Linked DNA regions of Arabidopsis thaliana. The protein of the gene in region 2 interacts with the protein of the main gene of each other region in a pairwise test. Each region holds a gene or a part of one and is shown on either strand. Other genes may lie near its edges. The genes, in order: LHCA3, AT1G73660, AT4G17250 and FASS.

Evidence for each region.
Region 1: the proteins of AT1G73660 (region 2) and LHCA3 interact in a two-hybrid assay, tested with the Arabidopsis thaliana proteins (one study listed by BioGRID).
Region 3: the proteins of AT1G73660 (region 2) and AT4G17250 interact in a two-hybrid assay, tested with the Arabidopsis thaliana proteins (one study listed by BioGRID).
Region 4: the proteins of AT1G73660 (region 2) and FASS interact in a two-hybrid assay, tested with the Arabidopsis thaliana proteins (one study listed by BioGRID).

The regions. Positions count from the first base shown.
Region 1 is NC_003070.9:22,698,065-22,701,912, forward strand, and holds LHCA3 (PSI type III chlorophyll a/b-binding protein), read left to right. Parts: upstream 1-1,828; 5' UTR 1,829-2,087; coding exon 2,088-2,231; exon of another isoform or gene 2,232-2,320; coding exon 2,321-2,382; exon of another isoform or gene 2,383-2,428; coding exon of another isoform or gene 2,429-2,469; coding exon 2,470-3,085; 3' UTR 3,086-3,348; downstream 3,349-3,848. UniProt on the Arabidopsis thaliana protein: The light-harvesting complex (LHC) functions as a light receptor, it captures and delivers excitation energy to photosystems with which it is closely associated, here photosystem I.
Region 2 is NC_003070.9:27,691,358-27,699,075, forward strand, and holds AT1G73660 (protein tyrosine kinase family protein), read right to left. Parts: upstream 6,016-7,718; 5' UTR 5,362-6,015; coding exon 4,801-5,361; intron 4,708-4,800; coding exon 4,267-4,707; intron 4,185-4,266; coding exon 4,081-4,184; intron 3,943-4,080; coding exon 2,780-3,942; intron 2,697-2,779; coding exon 2,656-2,696; intron 2,544-2,655; coding exon 2,475-2,543; intron 2,382-2,474; coding exon 2,281-2,381; intron 2,017-2,280; coding exon 1,938-2,016; intron 1,846-1,937; coding exon 1,747-1,845; intron 1,638-1,746; coding exon 1,569-1,637; intron 1,470-1,568; coding exon 1,420-1,469; intron 1,327-1,419; coding exon 1,150-1,326; intron 1,029-1,149; coding exon 890-1,028; 3' UTR 536-889; downstream 1-535. Other genes in the region: AT1G73655 (FKBP-like peptidyl-prolyl cis-trans isomerase family protein), read right to left, coding at 126-424. UniProt on the Arabidopsis thaliana protein: Acts as a negative regulator of salt tolerance. Mediates sugar response during early seedling development.
Region 3 is NC_003075.7:9,668,831-9,673,997, forward strand, and holds AT4G17250 (uncharacterized protein), read left to right. Parts: upstream 1-1,932; 5' UTR 1,933-2,273; coding exon 2,274-4,499; 3' UTR 4,500-4,645; downstream 4,646-5,167. Other genes in the region: AT4G17243 (uncharacterized protein), read right to left, coding at 467-499, 1,157-1,225; AT4G17245 (RING/U-box superfamily protein), read left to right, coding at 553-1,053.
Region 4 is NC_003076.8:6,173,182-6,178,901, forward strand, and holds FASS (tonneau 2 (TON2)), read left to right. Parts: upstream 1-1,790; 5' UTR 1,791-1,972; coding exon 1,973-2,114; intron 2,115-2,366; coding exon 2,367-2,458; intron 2,459-2,613; coding exon 2,614-2,676; intron 2,677-2,753; coding exon 2,754-2,852; intron 2,853-2,937; coding exon 2,938-3,096; intron 3,097-3,328; coding exon 3,329-3,400; intron 3,401-3,543; coding exon 3,544-3,676; intron 3,677-3,770; coding exon 3,771-3,835; intron 3,836-3,946; coding exon 3,947-4,022; intron 4,023-4,132; coding exon 4,133-4,234; intron 4,235-4,319; coding exon 4,320-4,512; intron 4,513-4,522; exon of another isoform or gene 4,523-4,786; coding exon 4,787-5,033; 3' UTR 5,034-5,220; downstream 5,221-5,720. Other genes in the region: EMB269 (GTP1/OBG family protein), read right to left, coding at 537-1,642; AT5G18590 (Galactose oxidase/kelch repeat superfamily protein), read right to left, coding at 5,335-5,415, 5,500-5,559, 5,645-5,720. UniProt on the Arabidopsis thaliana protein: Probable regulatory subunit of type 2A protein phosphatase involved in the control of the dynamic organization of the cortical cytoskeleton.

The DNA.
Region 1 (3,848 bases), 5.0 Mb from region 2:
AGATTAGAGATAACAAAGCAAAGAAAAACTATTTGATATTGAACAATCATGAGATATTATTCTTGACTATTTCTACAGTATTTGAACTCAAACCTTAGACGAACTCATGCTACTACTACAGAAAGCCAAATGCAACCACTAATTACAGAGGACGTACCTGAGAAACCAAAGCTTTCTTACTTGGAGACAAAACTTGCTGAAACAAGGACTGAAGAGAAAAAATCTTTTATAAGATGAAATTCTCCCGTATAAATAAGCAGTTATAAGCTATACACGAGTCACAACATCATCAATCAACAAAACTCAGAGCCAAACTTGTTCTTCGAGACTAAATAGAGACTAATGCAAAGTTTTTTATCAATGAGCTATACACGAGTCACAACATCATCAATCATTGTATCTCAAAACAAATCAGATAACACAATCTGGATCCTAGCTTTCTGCATCAAAAATACAAAAGACCTATAAACACAAAAACAATTCCACTTTGGATGCAATTGAACACGTCAAGGAGGCAGCTGAAGTTTGTAACTATGGATGGTCAATCTAAAGAGGGCTAAAGTGCAGATGCTAAAGTGGCAGCACCAAATGGTTCTGTTGCTCCTAATGTAGAGACAACAAAGCCTCTTAAGAGCAAATCGAAGACTCAAAAGCAACACAAAGCAAGCAAAGCAACACAAGCCGTAAACTAAAGCTAATCGAAGAATCAAAAGCAACACAAAGCAAAGTAAAGCAAACCCACAATTAAACAATGTAACCATGGTGGATCAAACCCAAGAACAAGTGATTGCAACAAGGATACAAAGAGAAACAACGAGAGAGACATGGAGCGAGAGAGAGGAAGCGAGAGAGGGAGAGAGAGAGAGAGAGAGAGAGAGAAACACAAACCTACTACACTCCGGCGATGGATCCGACGAGTCTCCAGTGAAGAATCGGCGACGGCGAGATCACCGGCGAAGAATCAGCATCATTGACGGCTATGAATCTCAATTTTGAGTGTTTTGTGTCGAGGAGAGGGTGAAGAAGAGATGTGGTTTTTGGATGTAATTCCATATATTAGATTAGGGTATTATTGACATTTTATAATTTTGGCTGAATCAGCTTCAGCAGAATGAACAAATCAAACTCAGTCAGATTTTTTTTATTTTTTGGATGAGTTTAGAAAAAAACATTCAACTGAATCATTCAAATGATCTATTTAAACATGAAAAACAAACAACAATTTTCATCTTCATTGAGATGGTTCATCCAAATGGACAAACAAACAGGACCTTAATAGAACAACCCAAAAAAGAACTCTTACAAATTGATTAATAAAATAATTTAATCAAAAAGAATTATAGATTTTTATTTTAAAAACTACAAATAGTTTAAAAAAAATATAATATTTACAATTTCCATCACAAATTGTTTCTTAATGCCCAAGGATGAAGGATCACATAGTTAATAAGTAATTAAGTACTATTTTATTCATGTACTTTCTCTTTGCCCTATCCAGAGTTGCTACAAGCCTAAAACTCGGTTTTACCACGATTTTTCTTTGGTGTATTTGACAGACTATTAATGGTTTGTTTATCTCTATTATCAGTTGAATTGTTATATCAAAATTTGAACTGATTGGGTATAAAAAGAAACTGAGAACTGATTCATGCTAAGGAAACCTTGTTTAACAAATACCATGGATGCTTTTTAACCGTATCAGCCTCTCCAATGTTTTCGTAAATCAATAGTTCAAAATTTTTTTCTACCACACAAGTGCATCTCCATTCCAATTTTCAATCTATATAAATCATATGTATTTTTTGTATCCAATAGTCATCTTTGTAAAGATTTTTTGTTCGTGTGTGGCGGATAAGCAAAAACAGAATAACATAATCTCTTATCCAACTTATATTGCCACGTGGACAGATATAGTTGGTGAAGCAGATACTAATCTAATCTGAGCAAAACCAGTTGGGCTATTTGAAAGCCACAAGTACTTGGAACCTTTGTTTCTTCTACCCTAACATAGCCCTTGCAAACCATAACCAAACCATCATCATCATCATCTCTTGGTGACAGAAGAAAAGAGTTGAGGAACAGAGAAAATGGCAGCACAAGCACTTGTGTCTTCTTCACTTACCTCCTCTGTTCAGACAGCTAGACAGATATTTGGCTCAAAACCAGTTGCGTCTGCCTCACAGAAGAAGAGTTCCTTTGTTGTTAAAGCTGCTGCAACTCCACCTGTCAAGGTACATGACAGTCTCTATTCTTTCACAGATCTCTCTCTTTCTCTATGTACTGAATAATCTGATCTTGATTTTGTGTTTTGGTTTTTCAGCAAGGAGCCAACAGACCATTGTGGTTTGCTTCATCGCAGAGTCTCTCTTACTTGGATGGCAGGTAATGTTCAAACAACTTTTGGAATTTTATTTGTTTTGAGAACTTCATGATGTTCAAAATTTGGAGATGTTCTGATTCTTCTTGCAGCTTACCTGGTGACTATGGATTCGACCCTCTTGGTCTTTCAGACCCAGAAGGTACTGGAGGATTCATTGAGCCAAGATGGCTAGCATACGGAGAGATCATCAACGGACGGTTCGCCATGTTGGGTGCAGCTGGAGCTATTGCTCCTGAGATTTTAGGAAAGGCTGGTCTGATTCCAGCAGAGACTGCTCTTCCTTGGTTCCAAACCGGTGTGATTCCACCAGCAGGGACATACACTTACTGGGCAGACAATTACACACTCTTTGTTCTCGAGATGGCTCTGATGGGATTCGCTGAGCACCGGAGGTTACAGGACTGGTACAACCCAGGATCTATGGGAAAACAGTACTTCTTGGGGTTAGAGAAGGGTTTGGCCGGTTCAGGTAACCCGGCTTACCCCGGTGGACCTTTCTTCAACCCTCTTGGGTTTGGGAAAGATGAGAAGTCACTGAAGGAGTTGAAACTCAAGGAGGTCAAGAACGGTAGACTGGCTATGCTCGCCATCCTCGGTTACTTTATCCAAGGACTAGTGACCGGTGTGGGACCTTATCAGAACCTGCTTGATCACTTGGCTGATCCCGTCAACAACAACGTCTTGACCAGCCTCAAGTTCCACTGAGGTGATCATCATCTCATGTGTTTTTATGTCTCTTGTATCGTACAATATTTCCATCTTTCGCTACCATTGGCTTCTTCGTATTGTAACACCCTGTGTAAACATATTCGTGTTTTGTAAGAAATGACAATGTCAATGGCCAAACGAAAAAACTTTTAGGATTAACAGTTGGCATTTGCAAACCAAACAAAGCGGTTAGTATATTCAAAGAATGTTATGAAATACTGTACCTGTTATGCTTTAAAAGTAGTCTCATCTTATCACTCTGTATCTCCCAAACCACCTTAGACATTTAAGACAAAAACAAATTTAACAATAAGCCATGTTGGTGCTATCAAAGAGAAACACTATCAATGGATTTGAAGACAAAACTATAATTGAAGAAGTAGCTCTTTCGTGTTATCTTTTAAGCCGTACCTAGTTCAGAACTTGCAAGACGAATGGAAAGAAGTTCTCCACCAGCAGAAAATTGCACTGCGTCCATTAGGTCCTGGTTCCACATAAAGAACCCTAGTCCATTGATATAAACAAAGGCCAAGCAAGAACAATTGCGGAGACAAATCTGGTAACAATCTTCAGCATCCAAAACACTTGCAAACCCTAATGGATATATAAACCCTTTGTAGCATTTAAATTTTGGAGGAACGTGCGTCACACACAAACCAAAAGATCCACATCCACTGTACTAATCACATGAGTTCGCTGGAGTCTCAAAGGTCATTATGCTGAAAAATCCTGGCGATTTCTGAAACCCTTCTATCAAAAC
Region 2 (7,718 bases):
AAATAAACTATGAGCTCAAGTCTTTGATTGTATTATCAAATCCCTAATTGCTAACATTCACTTAAATTTTCCATCTTTAGTTCTTAACAAGAGAATAATTCGAAGTCTTGATGAGTAAGAGTAACCTTGTGTTATCCTCTTCCTGAAACACATCGAGTCGTGACTTCTTCATCTGCTCGGAGACAACACCGAAAGCTAAAAACCCAGCCCAGGTAAACCCGGCGCCGATTCCGAACCGTCGCGTCACCGGAGAAGTAATCCAATCCGTCAATTGCTGCTCCTGCAATGTGACCACCGCCGTTGGTTGTGGATTCTCCGTGAATGTGACGCTTAGCGACTGCGATAGAAGACTCTGTTTCGGATGTTGGGATGGAGAGACGAAACGGTGGTGAGAAGGAACCGTCGCAGTGAAGAGAGTCGCCATTGTCAAAGATTTTTCGTAAAAGCAAAGTTTTTTAAAATATTATATTATTTTGATTCATATATCCCAATAATAAAGATCAGCCTTATCTTGTTCGTGTGATGAATAAAGACAGAGCTCAATGATTTTTTTTAATATATGTTTTCGGTCAACGTTTCGACGAGTTTGTCAATTGTTTTTTCTTTCTCTCTTTGTACAGTTTCAATATTGGAAAACAAAATAGAGGAAATTACGCATGAACATGAACATCGCTTGCAAGCAAAGACAACAAAACACACGAGCACAATCCTTCACCTTCTTCAATCGTCATCTTCCATGAATCTTTCTTTTTCACAATTCACAAGCTGTGTCAAACACTGAAGCTGAGGCAAAAAGTAGCAGAGAAGGAACATTTGTAGCTTTTTTTTCCTTCAAACAGATTGAATTCGTCAAAAATGTGTTTGCCACTTTGGTCGTCTTCTTCTGTTATCAATCCTTTTGTTCATGTTCAGTTGGTAATGAAGAGGAACTGGGGACTGGTCTTGGGATGTTGGAACCTGTTACAGGTTTCTGTAGCCGCTTTAGAGACGCCATTATCTCTGCAAAACTTGGCCTTAACTTTGAATCCCTGATAAACACACACAAAGCCATTACATGTGTTAACTGAGACATGGTCAAGTGAAATGATGTTGTTTAAGCACTGCTACTTCATATTGTGGCTGAAACATTGAAAAATAATCTATACTCACGTCTGCCAGCATTTACTGATGAGATCTGCAATTGCTGGATCTACAAAGTCGGGAATGTCAAGACGTCGATGCTGAAACCCAACTGCCCCAACTACTTGCATCGGGTTCATCTTTCCCCACGGTTGTTGTAACGTAAAGAGTTCCCATAAGATCACACCGTAGCTGTAAACATCGCACCTGTTTCACGTATTGTTTTTTCCTGACATTAGGCCTGCTTCTGACAAAAGGGAACAAAATGAATATCTAGTAGCAAAAGATCTAAGAGCATACTTCTCATCAGCAGGTTCGTTTCTTAGCACTTCTGGAGCCATCCATTCAGCCTTTATAAGACCAACACATAATTAGATTAACGAACTGGCAATTACAATAACTGTAAAAAGAGATGATTAAGACAGGGGAGACTATAACTTGCTTCTTACCGTCCCTGCTGTTGACTTTGAAGAGAGGTATGTACTGTGTTTCATCCTAGACAATCCAAAATCACACACCTGATATATATGAAAATCCAGTATTTGTTATGTAAACTTATAGCTGTTACATACGATATAACATTATCCACTTGGTAAGAAACAATAAATTTTATGGAGAGAATCTGACCTTCACGACCCAGTTTTTGTCAACTAGAAGGTTTGGGGACTTAAGATCGCGATGGACAATCATCGGATTACAGCTGTGCAAATAGTTCATTCCACGAGCCTGAATACAAGTAATATGTTACCTCAACACTCTACTGAAAGAATCAAGAAGTTACAAACAGGTGATATAGTAAGAGAAGAAAAGACTAATACAGCATCAAGGGCCATTCTCAGGCGCCTCCTCTCGTCTAATTGGTTATTTGGCCGGTGGATTAACCTATACAAGCTACCTCTGCACAAGTTTGGAAAAAAATATTATAATGTAAAGATCCAAAAACGAAGCACAACCGGATTGAACCTGTTCAAACCATCCAGATTTTAGAACTTAAAGCAAATACTTGAACAACACTCATTGATGCAAAGAAGATTTTGGCATTTAGAGGTCACAAAATAGATAAAAACAGAGGCATGCGCATCATGAATAAGGAGATGGAAATCGTTGTAGCCATGAGAATCATATCAAAGTAACTGAATCTTGCAAAGATCATAGTATTACCTAGGAAGAAACTCTGTAACAATTGAAAGATTCGGTGGGCGAGTCACAGCTCCCATGAAGAGAACAATGTTGGGATGTCTTAGCTTTTTCATGATTCGGACCTTGTATCACAAGAATATATAAGAAGGGTTTGATATAGAACTAATCAACATGGAAAATCAGGTAAAAGAAAAGATTAGAAGAAAGGCTCGTACCTCACTTCTGAATTCCTCCAATGCTTCTCCTGTTAAATCTTGATCAAGGAACTTCTTGACAGCCACTTCCTAAAGTTCAAGAGTTTCGACGATATGGAACTCAAACTAAGGAATTTCTAAACTCTTTTTTCATCGAGTTCAAATTCACAGTATAAATTGGAAAAGCAAATATAATACTCACAGTCCCGTGCCAATCTCCCCGATACACTTCTCCATAAGATCCTGTATCAAAAGAAGTAAAGTAGTTAATTATTTGAAGATGTAGTTACACCAAAGCAGATAACAGATGATGATAAGTCAGGTACCAAGTCCAATACGTTCTCCCACAGTAATTTCTTCCCACAAAATCTCACAGTCAGATACATCATCACAGTCTGACTTAGAACTTTCATTGCCAATAGATTTGTCAGATATTCTTTCCCCTCCTGAATTTGGCCCATGATTAGAGTCCCCACTACCTTGAGGCTCATGCCCACCAGAACCATCATCCCCGTCGCTATTCGAGCCTAATTCAAGTTGCCTGGACACGGCTGCAGCTGTTGCCACAACTGCAGCAGCAGTGGCCGTGGCAGCAGCTGCAGCAGGAAGTTCTATGGGGGAGGAGTCTGAGTTTGCAGACTTGGCAGCAGCAGCAGCAACCATGGAAGATGCAACAACAGCAGCTGCAGCTACAGCAGCAGGGACGGTTCTGGCATATTCTGTCGAAGATGCTTCAGAATGTGAAGAATCAGACTGACTTACAACTTTGCCATTATCACGTTGATCATGTGCATTTGTTTTAGATTGCACTCTTGGTAATGGAGGCAAAAACCTCACTGGACCAAAACCGTTTTGGTGTCTTCCTTCCTGAGTTGTCTCTAAATCTTTTCCTCTCTCTTTCTTGGCTTCAGTCGAGTTTTTGCTTTCAACAGTTGCCTCCAATTGCTGGGGATAGACTTCGGAAAATAAATTGGGAGGAGCTACAACTCCGCTTTCAAGTAATACATCATGAAGCTTCTGAGCTAACCGTGGATTCTCTTTAGCAGCATCAATCATATATTGTGAAACATCTTTGACTTTCATCCTTTGTGCAGCTGGGGAGCTAACCCCTTCAGTCCAAGAAGGTGATCTCATATGGGTGAAAGAATGAATAGGCCTGCTAGACAGATTTTGAAATGGAGCCTTTTCAACTTTCTTCTGATTTTTCACATCTTCTCTAGAAATATTTGGATGAACAATGAGATCGCCTCCACCTCCGGATTGGTTTCTCTCCCCAGAACTCTTGGTACTAGAACGATGTTCCCCTGTTCGAAACTCTGTATTCTCTTCATATGAGCTTTCAATACCATTGCTGGAAGAAGCTACATGAATTGAATCATTGTCTCCAGGACTAGCGGAATAGGCAGATTCATCATAGTCTATTTGTAGTCCAGCTGCATCAGCTGGAATAAGCGTGCCGGGATCTCCCATAAGATCAACAATGTACTCCCTGAAATTCACAATTGAATAGCATATAACAAAGTTTCTTTCTTTAAGCCTCAATATTAGCTTCAGGAGGTGCAGATTAGATAACAATATACATGAATGATAGACAAATATTGAATCTACACATTAATGTGATGATTACCTGCCATCATCAGCCTTAATAAAGTTCATTGCCACATCTTCAGAACCGGTATATTGCTGACCTTTGACTATTCGACAAGGAACACCAACACTATCACACAATACCTACAAAGTTTCATATAAAGAAAGAACCATAAGAAATGAAATAAACTTAAAAGTGCTGAGATTCAGAAGAAAAAGTGCATACTTTGAATAACAAGGCTCGGTGACGAGCCAAACCAATAGTCAGAGAACCAAGTGGCAAAACCATGCTTCCAAGAGTTGCTTTCAAACTATAGCTAAGACTCCTCCAAGCTCTCAACATGCTCTCTGGGTGCACGACTGGTCCACCCATGTAATCTCCCACTAAAATAGCCAGTTTCCTTACCAATTCACTATTCACAAAACCAGAGGAAGAAACTGATCTTGATTTAGCAGCAATATCAAGAGCCATCTGTTCAAGTCTCAACAGATTAGAATCCCCACTTCTGTTCACAAGAACAGCTTCCCATGTCACACCGTCTGAAACAGGTGTCCCTTGAAGATCGAGCAAAGGAGGTATTCTTTCTGCTGAGGATGCATTCAACACTCCATACAAGTCATAAAAACCATCCAAGATCTTGTCATCATAGCCAAGACAATTGTAATTCTGTGAATGCAACAATACCAAAATGAAATGAGTTCTTGGGAGTAACTAAAGAGTTTCTGTTATGCAGAGAAAACAATTGAATCAAAAGCTTACCCAGTAGCGATAAGCGATGAGTTCAGCTGGAGAGTTCTCAGGAGCACAAGAGCCTAAACTGAATTGCTTAATAGCCTCAATCTGAGTAGCCTCAGGATCTTCTCTAGCACTTAACTCTAAAGCCAACTGTATCTGATTCTCTTCTTCAACAGCTGGATCTTTGGAACCTAAATCCACATGTTCTGACCCATTAACAACAACAGTGTCATCAACCGTGGCGGCTCTGTTCTTGGCATTGAAAGAATTAGGAGGACTAGGGATTTTTCTATGACCAACAGAACTTAACCAATTAGATAAACCAGAAAAAGGTTTGATTTCAGGGCTATTGCTGTGATGAGACCTCGGTGATGATGATGATGATACATCGATAGACTTATGATGATTGCTCTTAGTTGTTGAAATTGATCCTTCAGCTTCATCTGATTGATTGGGCGAGATATGAAGTTTCTTAAGAAAGTTCTTCATGTTCATCTTCATACTCCAAATGCTAGAACAATGATCAACAGGTCTTAAAACCACTCCATCTCCCAAATTCTTCAAAGTTTCTTCTTTTACTTTCATAAACCCTAATTCCTCCCCGGAATTTAAATCAAAAGTTTGAAACTTTCACCGGAATTCACGAAGACCAATCAAAAAGAACAAAGATTTCAACTTTATTGGACTTCAAAAGGCAAAAACTTGAGACAGCAAAATTTGTAGAGAGCTTGAGCTCAAAACACACAGAATTTTTTTTTTTTTTTTGATAAATCACCAAAATGGTTAAAAGCACACACCCACTCAAATGCAGAATTTAAAGAAAAAAAGCATATGACTGACAATTTTCTCCGTACTGATATGAACCGCTAATTCTCCTCCTTCAACCAACTTGAATATGTATCTCTCTATCTATCTCTGACGCCACTTTCTCTGTCTAAAAAGTTGGACAAAGAAAGAAGTGGAGAGAGTGGCTCTTCTCTAGAAGAAAATTAAAGTTTGCATTTTTGATAATTGAGGAGGAGAGTTACTTACTGTGACATGCAAAACAAAACAGAACAAGAAAAAAGGCGTATCTTTTTCACTAAGCTTAGTGCGTGAACTTGAAAAGATGATGACGAAACATAATTAAATTGCACCAAGACAGACTTAACGTCAATTGAGGCATTTAAAACGGTTACTTTTTGTTTCTATAAACAGCATAGAATCTACATCAATTTATTCATTACTATGTCAAAAAAGAAAATTCTGAGAAAACTGTGAGATACATTTTTTGTCCTTAATTCACTAATATATAAATAAAAATACTTACGGGAATGTTTTCTTTAAAATTTTGCATTAGAACAATAAAAAAACTATCCAAAGTGGTTTAAAGCAATTTCTTTGATTCATTTTAAACGCTAGCAACCGCAAACTCAACATTTGCATATGGTAGTAGGAGAACCAATCAAGTTCTAAATCAATTTTCATTTTTCGATCAAATATATCAAAAGTCTTTTTGGTCATATAATTAAAACTGTATTTTTATTTTTTTTAATAAATAGTATAGCGTTTCGATCTTTTATACTTGTATCTCTTTTGGGAATAAAAGAAGAATAGCAATTGTCACGGCAATTAAGGACCATTAACTTTTTATATTTTGAGAATGACTAGAAATAGCTTAAGGTGTCAATTCTAAAGAAAAGACAAATGAGAATTTAACTGAATATTCACTTGAAAAGCACGTGGTTAATTGTATATTGCAGTGTCCGGTGAATCTTACTAAGATAGAGCTCAATTAATTAACGAGTTAGATAATTAGTACTCCGTTATCTTGCTTTTGATGAAACTCTATTTTCGTGAAGAGACACCGTTATCTCTTCGATCATTCAACATATCTATCACTATATACATATGTAATTAATTAGTTTATATAGTGGTTACGACTTACAACTTACAATAGAGATAGCTATGTATGTCATATATGCACAAAATATATGAGTTTATTATAGTATATGATTAATGTCAAAATATGGACAACCACACGTATGCATGTATGATTTATGTAATAGGTAATCATTGTATCTTCTTTGAACTTATTAAATGGTGTGAGCTATGAGCCAATAGTTGACCAACACGAATATTTATGATTTTTCCAGTGATCAACTCTATAGTGTCCACACGATTGTGAGGTTCAGAAACCATCAGGTAATTTTTTTTTAATGTATCATTAATTAAGGTAACTCTTTATGTGTCTTGGAAATTGTTTTCCACCATAGAAGATGATTATTTGTTGAAATAATTTATACGTAATTTTTTTTAAAAATTAAACTTTACATTTTAATTTTTATATACTGGAATGATAAATACGGTAAAAAACAAAAATATACTATTACCGTGGTTTTCATATTCATCCCCCCCCCCATTCGACTTAAATATGTTATCTACTTTTCCAACTATGACACTTCTCAAAAATCTATTTTATAGTATAAAGGATCTGTATTCCATAAAATAAAACAAGAAAAAAGGAAAACGATTGGAGGTTTTAAGTGCTCAAGGGTAGTTGGCTAACAATTCAATTTTGGGCGGCTTGAGATTTGTCCGAAAACATAAGAAAAGATTTTTGATTTGGAATAAATCTTATAGTAACATTAAAACATACAAAAAAAAAAAAAAAAGTAAATGGGGCTTGAGTTTTGTCCGAAAACATAAGAAAATATTTTTGATTTGGTATAAATCTTAGTAACATTTAAACAAACAAAAAAAGAAGAAGTGAATGGAGAGTTTCTATTTACTACACGTTATGTTTGGTTTAAGCCAATAAAAAAAAGCGTTTACGTAACCATAAAACATAGCGTGTGTGATTTTGCTCAGAAAAGAAGAGTTTAATAGGCCAAAGCAGCAAGATTAAAAGTTAAAAGTTAAAACCGTAAAAGAACATTCGTTTCTCCCGGGAGGTTTGACTA
Region 3 (5,167 bases), on a different chromosome or scaffold from region 2:
TTTGGTCCATATTGTAGAACCCAAAGCCTAATAACCGTACACTAAGCCCTTACATACATGAAACGCTGAATTGTCATTGGTAGAAAAGGAAATGGAAGAGTAGTAGTAAGGAATTATATCAGTTAATAAGAGTTGTAATGTGAATAGAACACGTAACTGGACTAGTATGCATGTGTATGAGAAGTTCAAATCTTTAACTCTCACAATATCGTCGAAGACAATTGTTTAGGATAAGATAGAAACTAAATGAGCATTTAAAATTTAAAGAAAAAAGGGAACTGTAGAGTTGCCTTGGCAGGAGGGGAAAGCATTATCATGAAGAATCTGGTCTACAAGAATGGGAAATGGACAGATGTATCTGTTCACCACCAATCCATCTTCATAACTCAAGTGGTCCCTTTCTCTCGACCCATCCACGTCTCCTTCATCACAAGTAAGACCAAATTAAGCCACCATTTGGTGTCTGTCATCTTCTCTTTAATGCTCTCTTTTGTTCTTTCTTTATAAACACAACAAGACATGAAAGGTTTTTGGGAACTTGTCTGAGTTCCAATGCGGCTGCTGCTATCATCTGATCCCCAACCCGAACTTACGTCTACATGTACCTCTCATAGTTGCGGCTGGAAGCCTTACTCTCATTCCAATGACTTTGCTGCCAACGCGTTCCTCCTTCTCATCATCCTCTTCTGTTCTTTCATATGCGTCCTCTCTCTCCACGCTGCTATCCGTTGTTGCCTCCGTCCAGTCCTCCAACATGTCCCTAAGCCCGACCCGGACCTTGAGGCCACCCATCCAGACGCTCCCCCGACACTTGTCTACTCCCCGGGCCTAAACCTAGCAGGCAATGAAGCAGAGTGCATCATTTGTTTGTCTGAATTCCAAGACGGTGACACCTTACGCGTGTTGGAGAGATGCAAACATGGATTCCACGTTTATTGCATCCAGAAGTGGCTCTCCTCATCCCATTCTTCTTGTCCCACTTGCCGGACAAACATCTTCTCCTCCCCACCTCAACTTCACTCACAAAGCTTACCACTAACGAGTACACCTTAGTCAGATGGTAGCTAGTTCCTGGTCTTGCCCACTTTTTTTTTATCTTTATTTTCTTTACAACTTCACACCACTATCATGTTTTACAAGTTAGTTTATTTTTTACCTTTCTCCTTTTATATTCCATGAAATTTGCACAGTCTAAAATTGATATGAAGTCACTTTTGTGAATCATCATTTACAACGTATAACAAACAAAGACCAATGTGTAACGAAGCAATAACAATACCTCATAATATAGAGGGACCAAAGGCTTTATTTAATGTCGGAGTTCAAGATATATGAGGTCTTGACTGGTGTTAGGTACGTTCCCACTTGTTGGATAAGATAAAGAAAAGAGTTGTTACTAGATAAGATAATGGATAAATATAGAGGATGAGAAAAAAAAATAGAAGTGGAATGACGACGACTCACATTACGAGCATTAACTCCATTGCCCATTGGCATGGAATGATTCTAGCTAGCAGTAGGAGAAAATTCCAAGTGCGTGCAAAGTTCTTCAATGAATTCCTAGACCCCCTAACCAGAGTCATGGATGCAATACTGGAAAGGCAAGACTATGCTCGCTGCATATTTTCAGGTTGCTGACATGTTCAAGCTCAAAACACAATCAAGCGATGAAGTTAGAGGAGAAGATGATTGAACAACTTTGATCTGGTCTCAAAGGTCAAAGCCATGCAATATCTCCTCGTATGTACTACATTGTTCTAGATAGCCTAATGATGCACATCGTGAGTTATGTTAAAAAACTATTTTTAGAAAAAGTTACTGAGAGTTCTGGACAAAAAGTTCAGGGTAATGATATTTAAGGTGACAAAAGGTAGGAGATGTTACTATTCACAAAAAAAAATTAAAGGGTTATCTTGTAATGCGACTTGTTCATGTTAGTTGTTGACAAAAAAATAGACTGTTGTAGATTATTTGTTATGAGGGTAGGAGTAGGATCGTGTAGTGGAGAGACGAACACGTAAGTAGAAAGAAAGAGCCTTGTTATTAGATTAGAGCTGTGTTAATGTGTGAACGCAACCAACAGTTCGTTTTTGAACGAGTCTAACTAGAGACAAGTCAAAGCTTATGACTTTGAGTGGACACTGGACAGAGCTAGTAACTTCTTTGAAGATTCTGAACAATTTTATAACATCAAGACACGACTCTGTCGCTCTCTCTCTCCATAGAAGAAGACGAAGAAATAGAAGAATCGAGAGAGTGAGACAAATCTAGTGATGGGTTGCGACTCACATGGAAATCTAAGCGACACAGAGTTCAGCAAGCCGTTGCCATCCATAGGTGTATATGTCGCTGCAGCTTCACTGATCTGTGGAGTTGCTATGTTTTCCGATCTTCTTCACGGCTTCCGGCACCGTAAGTTCTGGTTTCCTTGCAAATTCTTCTCTCTCAACGCTACCACTCTCACCTTTATCTCTGTATGCGTCAAACTCTCATTGGATCTCAACACTTCTATGCCTAGTCGCCAAGATCAGCTTGCTAAACTCAGCAGCAGCGTCTTCGTATGCACCGTGATGGCTAATTCCATGCCTTCTCTTGGTTACATGGTCACGCAAGATCTCCTCATGAACCTCACGGCTCTTGGGATTCTAGTCATCACCGATGTTGTTAACATCTGTATCCAATTGGGTACAGGAGCTATATATGTGTTCCCTCAAGAACACGCTCTGGTCATTATTCTCATGCTTTTGATGTTTATGATCTTGAGTTTCTCTGCTATCACTGTCCCAGCCACAAAGCGTTTCTTGGAGCTCAAGTACAAGAAGAGATACGAGTTTGCTTTGAAGCAGTGTCCTTCGTATACAGAGAGAAGAAGAGGGGTTCCTAAGCTTAAAGAAGATCTGATGAAATTCTGGATGATGGCTCACACTTCTAGCCCTCAGTTTGTGATGGCTCGCTCTGTTACTTGCACCACCACTGGTTTCCTCTGTTTCTTGATTGCAATCACATTGGCTGAAGCCATGGTCCGGTCTTACTTTCTTCAACCCCGGTCACTAGGGTTCTGCAATGGAGATTCTGATTACAAATGGTCAACCACTTTGGTTCTAGTCTCCCAGACAGCTGCAGTGGCCATAGGAACCGTTGCTCCAGCGAGCAGATGGCTCAAGGCAGTGAACTTTAGGTGTCCATTTAGAAACAAGAAATCTTTGAAAGATGAGTTAAGAGTAGAGAGTTATTGGGTAGAGTGTCTCGCTGAGAAGAAAGAACGTCCCTTGAACTTTTGGATGCTCCATGGTCGCTGCAGCAGGAAGCTTGCACACGACTTAAACCGGTTGATGCTTGATATCTGCATTGCAACACAGTATGGTATAGTGCTGGCTAGCAAGTTTCTCCGTTTCATCACGGTCTATTGTTCGAGTAGAATCTTGCTATGTTGTTTTCATTTCACCTTCAAAAGTGATTCTGTTGCAAACGCTGAGTCCTCCGGTTCAAATCCATCAACCAGACAATTCGTTCTGCATCTTGAAGGAGAGGAGGAGATGGTGGACTACATGGCACGTAGCAACCGTGTGGCCACAGACCACTTGATACAAAAGGGTCGGAAGAAACAACCTGTAAACTTGATAGAGCTCTTGGAGGCAACAACTTTCATCTCAAAAGGATTTGAAGGGATTCGAGATTTTGACAGCGACGAGGTTTCTTCTCTGGCCTCTGGAGAGCCACCTAATAGTTGGGCCCTTCCATTGGTAACACTGACGAGTATCGCTGTCGCTCTTCCTAACATCAAGCCTTGCTCGCTCAAGAAGTTAGTGAAAGCTGTAAACGAGGCATTGGTCTATGTCAACAAGTTCGAAGAGGTCTTAGACATCGAAGGAGAGTTAGCTAACAGCAGGAAAGCTGCAGAAGTTGTTTGGTTAGGAGTTGATCTCTACCATAAATGGCTCAACGTGGATCTTCGAAAACTATCCAAGCAACATAGCAAAACACCACAGGAAGTTCTTAAAGAGCTGGTAGATATAGCACAAAAAGAGTTTACAGAGTCATGGGAGAAAAATCGGATACTATGCATGAAGCATAAGCCCTCGCACTGGCCCATCAAGACTCAAGCAGCAAACTCAATGTACCGAATCAGCCAAACCCTTTTGATGAAGTACGAATCAAGAAACATTGAAACAGAGGAGACTCTGTTGAAAGATGTGGAAAAGATGGTATCGGACATAGTATCAGGATGCTTTTGCAACACGGCACAAGTTATTGGAATGAAGTGTTTGGTTACAGCAGTGGAAGTGAGGGAAGCGTCGGTGAGAGAAGCGGCAATGCATTTGGGGAGAACAGAGAAGATACTTGAGATCGTAGACAGGAGATGCATGCCTGCTTTGTCTCATCACAAAGTGGCAAAGATTGATGAATGGAGAGAGTTTTATAGGACCAATAAATCCATCACTTTCACTCATCCTTCGTCCCAGTGTACGACCCGTGAACTCATTATCAACCTAGAATAACACATTTTCTTGTCACATTTAAAGAATTAATTACGTTTTGTACATGATAAAACCTAATTAGCAAATAAAATCCTTTCTTTGTCGGTTGATCTAACTATTAACACTTGATGCCAAGTCTAAAGAGTTTATTAGTTTTTAAAACCCAGTTTACCAATAATAAGTTTCCTTTGTCGGTTGATGCACTAGTCAAACTATCAAAGTCGTCAAGTTTGCTTTGTTGACAAGGCAAAGCTACTCTTCCAAAACATTGATCCATTCTTCTGGAAATTTGCAATAACGTCTCAAGACCAATGCAAGTAATAATTTAACCATGCCATGTTATCAACAAAAGCTGCTTCTCTGATTTCTAGAGTATTATTTTTTAACCATTATTGAAGTTTGAAGATTTCTTATTATTGCTAAATGGTAAAACCATCTTGAGGGGAACAATTTGATAAAACTGTGTGCTGCTTCCTGTCTCCGACCAAAACATGTTTAAAATTAGATTCGGACCAAACAAGTTGTCAATTTTTAGTACAAATCAAAGGTTCAAATGTCAATAAATAATCATTACATTTTAAAATTTCGAAATAAAAGGACAAACATGTAAAAACCAAAAAAGTGAAGCACTGATATTTGTCATTTCTGCCTATAAAATGTACACTTCCCACTCACACGGTCACAGAAAC
Region 4 (5,720 bases), on a different chromosome or scaffold from region 2:
AGAGCTTCCCAGAAAAAAAAAAATATATATATGAACCACATATTACATTTCCTAAAGGCAAACACAGTCTCATAATTCTCCAACAGCATGATAGTGTTGGACTCTAAGAGTACCCAATCCAGTCTATAGATAACCCAGAAACTCATATCCGTTCATAATACTCTAACATACCTCTATCAACATGAGCTTTTCTACTAGCAGAGTCAGCAATGGAAGACTTTCAAAAGTCCTGTACCTGTATCTATATATAAATTCTTGTATAGTGAGCATTACTTACAAGATGAGATTTCCTCTGGAGATTAACCGAGATACTAAACCTAACCCAGATGATCGAATGAAGGAAGCAGGGCTCACATGTAAACATCAAGCTTTACCAAACAAAAGAAATACAAATCAACTGTTCCTAAACCAAAATGAAATTTTTACATCTTTGAACAATCTAGCTTCTGTGATTAGTTTATCCTATCAAAGCTTGTAACCATCATCAACACACTAAACTAAAACCAGCTCAAAAATGAAGAAAAATACACACTTACATTTCAGGACCTTCTTCGCCATTCTCAGCAATCCTAGGAACTTTATTCATCCCCGACTTAAACGAAGCATTCCCTCGTCCACCTCTCCCTCCAGGCAACAACAACGCCCTCTGTCCCGGATGCAACAACTCCAAAAGCACCTCCTTCTCCTCCCCTTCCTCACCCTCCACCTCACTCCCAACCTCTCTAGCCTGTCTAACCACCGTCCCAGGAGCCACTTTCACCACGACATTATCACCTTTAGCTCCACTCTGCATCTTCCCTCTCCCATGTTCCCCACGTCCCGCCCTGAAATGCACACTCTTGCGAAATGGCAACAACGAATTCATAGACCCATCAACCTCTACATACACATTCCCTCCTCTCCCTCCATCTCCACCTGAAGGTCCTCCAAAAGGAACAAACTTTTCTCTCCTAAACGCCACCACACCATTCCCTCCATCTCCGGCTCTAACATATATCTTCGCTCTATCGAAACACCTCATCACAGCCGGAACTCCTTTCTCCTTCACCCCAATTTCATCCTCTTCCTCTTCACCGGAGAAACATAACACTTCTCCATCCTTCAATTCAGACCCTTCACTATCATCTTTCTCCGCATCAGTTTCATCACCATACTCAAACACTTCGTCTTCCCAATCTTCATCATCTTCATCAATTGATCTTGAACTCCCTTCAAACACATCTAATCTTCTGTAATTTCCCCAAATATCATCATCATCATAACTCTTCACCTCCTTTTCTTTCTCTTCTTCCTCAATTTCCCTCAAAGTTTCAATCTTTTCCTCAACCCTCGCGACATTGGACTCAGATAGCTTCACTTCTTCAGAAACTTTTAAATAAGATGAAGACAAAAGAGAGACATCATAGTAATCTTCCCTAGGAGGAAGACGTGTATAAGTAGTGGCTTCGCCGCCGGCATCAGAAACTGGCTGGAGTTTATCACCGCCTCGAGATTTAAGCTCGACTTCGCGTTGAAGCTTCGTTTTTCTAGGGCTTCGGGTTCTTCCCGAGACTTTGTCAGGTTTAGCGAAAATCTTCCTCGTCCTACTGGGTCGGGCTAGAGCTTGAGGAGTGAAGAAACAGTTAATGGATATGGAAGCCATTTGTTTCTCTGATAAATCTTAACGGGACTTTATGTGATATAAACAACATTTTGTACTAAATATTGATTTTTCAAAGTAAAGGGGGTTACAATCAAAAGTAGTATAAAATTGAGGACTTATATAGCAAACAAGGAGAAACTTTTATTACCTTTGAAGTTTGAAGCTTGGATCTCGCAGATTGAGCTCCAGAGAGGGAGAGAGAGAGAAAGGGGGCGCTTTAGGGTTTCTGCAGTTCCTGGTTCAGTCTCACCATTCTATTTAAGGGTTTTAATCTCTCTGCTTCATTTGGTGACTAACATTTATCGTCGAGGGTTGTGACGATCTCCGAGAATGTATAGCGGATCTAGCGATGGTGAGAGTCATGATACATCGACGCAGAGGAAGATCCCACCGGCGTCTTCGATGCTTTGGGTTAGAAATCTACGACGATATATTGGTTCCGGTGCCGGATTAGGATCCGAAGCTCTAATGGGTAATGTTCCTTTTGCCGGTTGTTGCGTTTTGGTTGTTGGGACAGTCTGTAGTTTTTTTATCTTTTAGCTTGTGATGATGTCATAAATTCTGTAAAGTTTGAATCTTTGATCACATTTTAGAGCTCGTTGTGTTTTCAATATGAGTAAAGTTCCTGAATTTACATGTCTATGTATTGAAAGACTATGTTTAACTGTGATAGAGTCTTTGGTTTTGCTTAGTTTGATAAGGGTTTGTGTTCATTGTTTTGTAGAGCTTGAGACGAAGAGAATCTTGCTCGAGATTTTTAAAGAGAAGCAACAGAAAAGCCAAGAAGCAGGCACAATACCGAGTTTCTACAAGAAGGCATGTCCCTTACTCTGTATAAAATGATTGCCTTTGCATTTCAAGGCACTACTCGGTTAAAATATTGCATTGTGTTATACACTTCATAGAAGTTGTTTTTCCTTTTAAGTATTCGTGTTAGGCAATAAAATTTTGTTCCTTTACTCTTGGTTCAGAAACCAGAAGAAGGATCTATTAGTCAAAGGGTCCAGAAGCTTGCAAAGTACCGTTTCTTGAAGGTATTTCGCCTGCTCTTAATTATTCAGAAGAAGTTTAATGTTTTTGCTCACTTCGATATGTTGATTAATTCCCACAGAAACAATCGGATCTTTTGTTAAACGCTGATGATTTGGCTGCTATGTGGGTTTGTTTGAGAGAAAATTGTGTGATTGATGATGCCACTGGTGCTGAAAAGGTACGTGCATCTTTTATAGGATTTTTCTCTGGAGCTGAAACTATGTTAACAATGATGCTGATATTGCGCTGTCTTTTTCATGTAGATGAACTATGAAGACTTCTGTCACATTGCCTCTGTATGCACTGAACAAATCGGTCCCAAATGTCGCCGGTTTTTTAGCCCATCCAATTTCATGAAATTTGAGAAGGATGAGGCTGGGAGGATTGCCATTTTACCGTTTTATCTTTATGTGATGCGCACGGTGAGTATCCTTATGTTTTTATAATGTCATGTCTTTGGGTATCATTTTTGTTCATTGGCTGAATATCATCTGTCGCCATAAGCTAAATATTCTTTGGTACTGTGTTTGAGTGACACCAGCTTTGCTAGTTTTGGATGTTTGTTTTTCAAGTTTTTTTAATTTGGCGTGTCTTTTACTTAAACAACTATAGTTAATACTTGTTTTGATTAATCATATGTTCAACACTATTCAGGTGTCGCTTACACAAGCTAGGATTGATATGAGTGAGCTTGACGAAGACTCTGATGGTTTCCTTCATTCTGATGTAAGTACTCAAGTGGCTCTAAAGCTTTAACTTTAGAATTGGCTCAAGATTCTTTAGGTAGTCGTCCTACCTGCAAATGTCAAATGGTGTTGACTTTTATGTCAAGTTCCTTACAGTTAGTCTACTTGCTGTTGTTATTATAGGAAATGGAGTCCTATATTGGTGGTCTAATCCCTAATCTGGCACAACTGAGAGACATGCCTCCGGCCTTTAATCAAATGTATTGCCGCATAGCTTCACAAAAGTTTTTCTTCTTCTGTGATCCCCATAGGCGAGGTAAGTGAAAGAAAATATTATTATTATTAGGCAATTAGAAATTTCTTTGACCCAGTATTCAATCGCTCGTAAATGTGATATTTTTTGCGTACAGGAAGAGCCTGCATTAAAAAGATACTGCTCAGTAACTGTCTGCAGGAACTAATGGAATTGCATCAGGTAAGTTTAGTTGAAGGATGTATGACATACAGCTTCGTCACCGTATAACTTTCCACTTTCATAAGCTACTTGCTTGTGTTTTCTGATTGTTCCTTGGTTACTCAACGTTAGGAAAGCGAGGAGGAAGTCACAGACACTGAACAGGCAGAAAATTGGTTCTCTTTGACTTCAGCCCAACGCATATGTGGTGGGTGTGCTATTTTGTCTTAATAGCTGCAGAGAACTGGAAACAACTCTCGTTATGTCATATTAAGAACTAAAATGGAGATTGATCTAGAGTTTCTCTTTCTTCTGTAGATATGTTCCTCGCACTTGATAAAGATATGAGTGGATCGCTGTGCAAACAAGAACTTAAAGAATATGCTGATGGGACCCTAACTGAGATTTTCATTGAAAGAGGTAAATTTAAGCCCTTTTGGTGATTGTAGGCTCGTGGTACTGATCGAGACACGCTTAGTATACTAATTCCCCTTTGTTTTTTTAGTGTTCGATGAGCATGTCCGCCGTGGTAAAATCGTGGCAGGCAATTCCCGGGAAATGGACTTTGACAGTTTCCTCGATTTTGTTCTTGCTTTGGAGAACAAAGATACTCCAGAGGGTTTGACGTATTTATTCCGTTGCCTTGATCTCCAAGGGAGAGGCTTTCTCACTACTGCTGATATTCACTCTCTTTTCAGGTAATGAATCTCTATGAAGCGACTGAATCTGTTTGGTTTCTTACTTTTTAGTAAATTTTGTTTGAAACATGGAAGTAAAGAAGGGGAGCATCAAAGAGTTGTGATGTTATCTGATACAATCTTCCTAAATAAACACTCTGCATTTCCTGCTTGCGGAAGCTGAGCTTTGTTCCGCGAGTCTCATATCTGCAAAGACACTAGTGCATATCAAACACACCATTGATGTGTGATAATGCCATTGTCTCTCTTCTGAATTCATCTGTTTAACTTGCAGAGATGTTCACCAGAAATGGATAGAAGGTGGGAACTATGAACTGTGCATAGAAGATGTTCGAGACGAGATCTGGGACATGGTGAAACCGTCTGACCCATTAAAGATCACTCTGGGTGATCTCTTGGGATGTAAACAAGGTGGAACCGTTGCGAGCATGCTTATAGATGTGCGTGGCTTCTGGGCTCATGACAACCGTGAGAACCTTCTTCAAGAAGAAGAAGAACCACCTGAGGAAGAGTCTCAGTGATAATGTTATTTTCTATGTCTACCTAAAAAAAATGCTAAATCATTGAGATCAAAAGTCTCGCACTAGTAAACAGTCTCATCTCATGTGTGTGTATCTTTGTAAGCTTATTAGTTGGTGACGTTTAATGAAATGGCTGTTTATATCGTCACTTGTCTTATTCTACTTGGGATCTGATTTGATTTTTGACATTTCTGAATTCACTTCTATTATACATTACTCCACAACACACATGAATTCAGTCATGTCTCGAGTACTACAAAATGGAAGTCATAAAAGTTATCGTGTTGTCTCTGGTCTGTGTTTAGACATGGAAAGGCTTTCTGGGTGTAGCAGCTCTGTTCTCTAGAGATTGTAATCTTTGCTTCAGATGAAACACTTCAACCTGCGTTCATCTCAAGTTTTTAGAACAATACTACATTTTGAAAATGCAAATTTGAATAGAGTCTATTGATGATTATGATGACACCTGCAACTGGAACGCTCTTGCTCTTTCTCCTGCAAGAACTCCTCTTGTTGAATGCAACTCCTACAAAACCCATAACACAAAACGGTATTAAACTTTAATCCTCAGTCTTTTGAAAACGCTTGTATATCTACTAGGATTATTTTACCTTTTGTGTATCGTCTAGGACAGCTTTGAGGAACGCTACATCATGCTCAAGCCTGACATTGTCGGAGTGAACCATG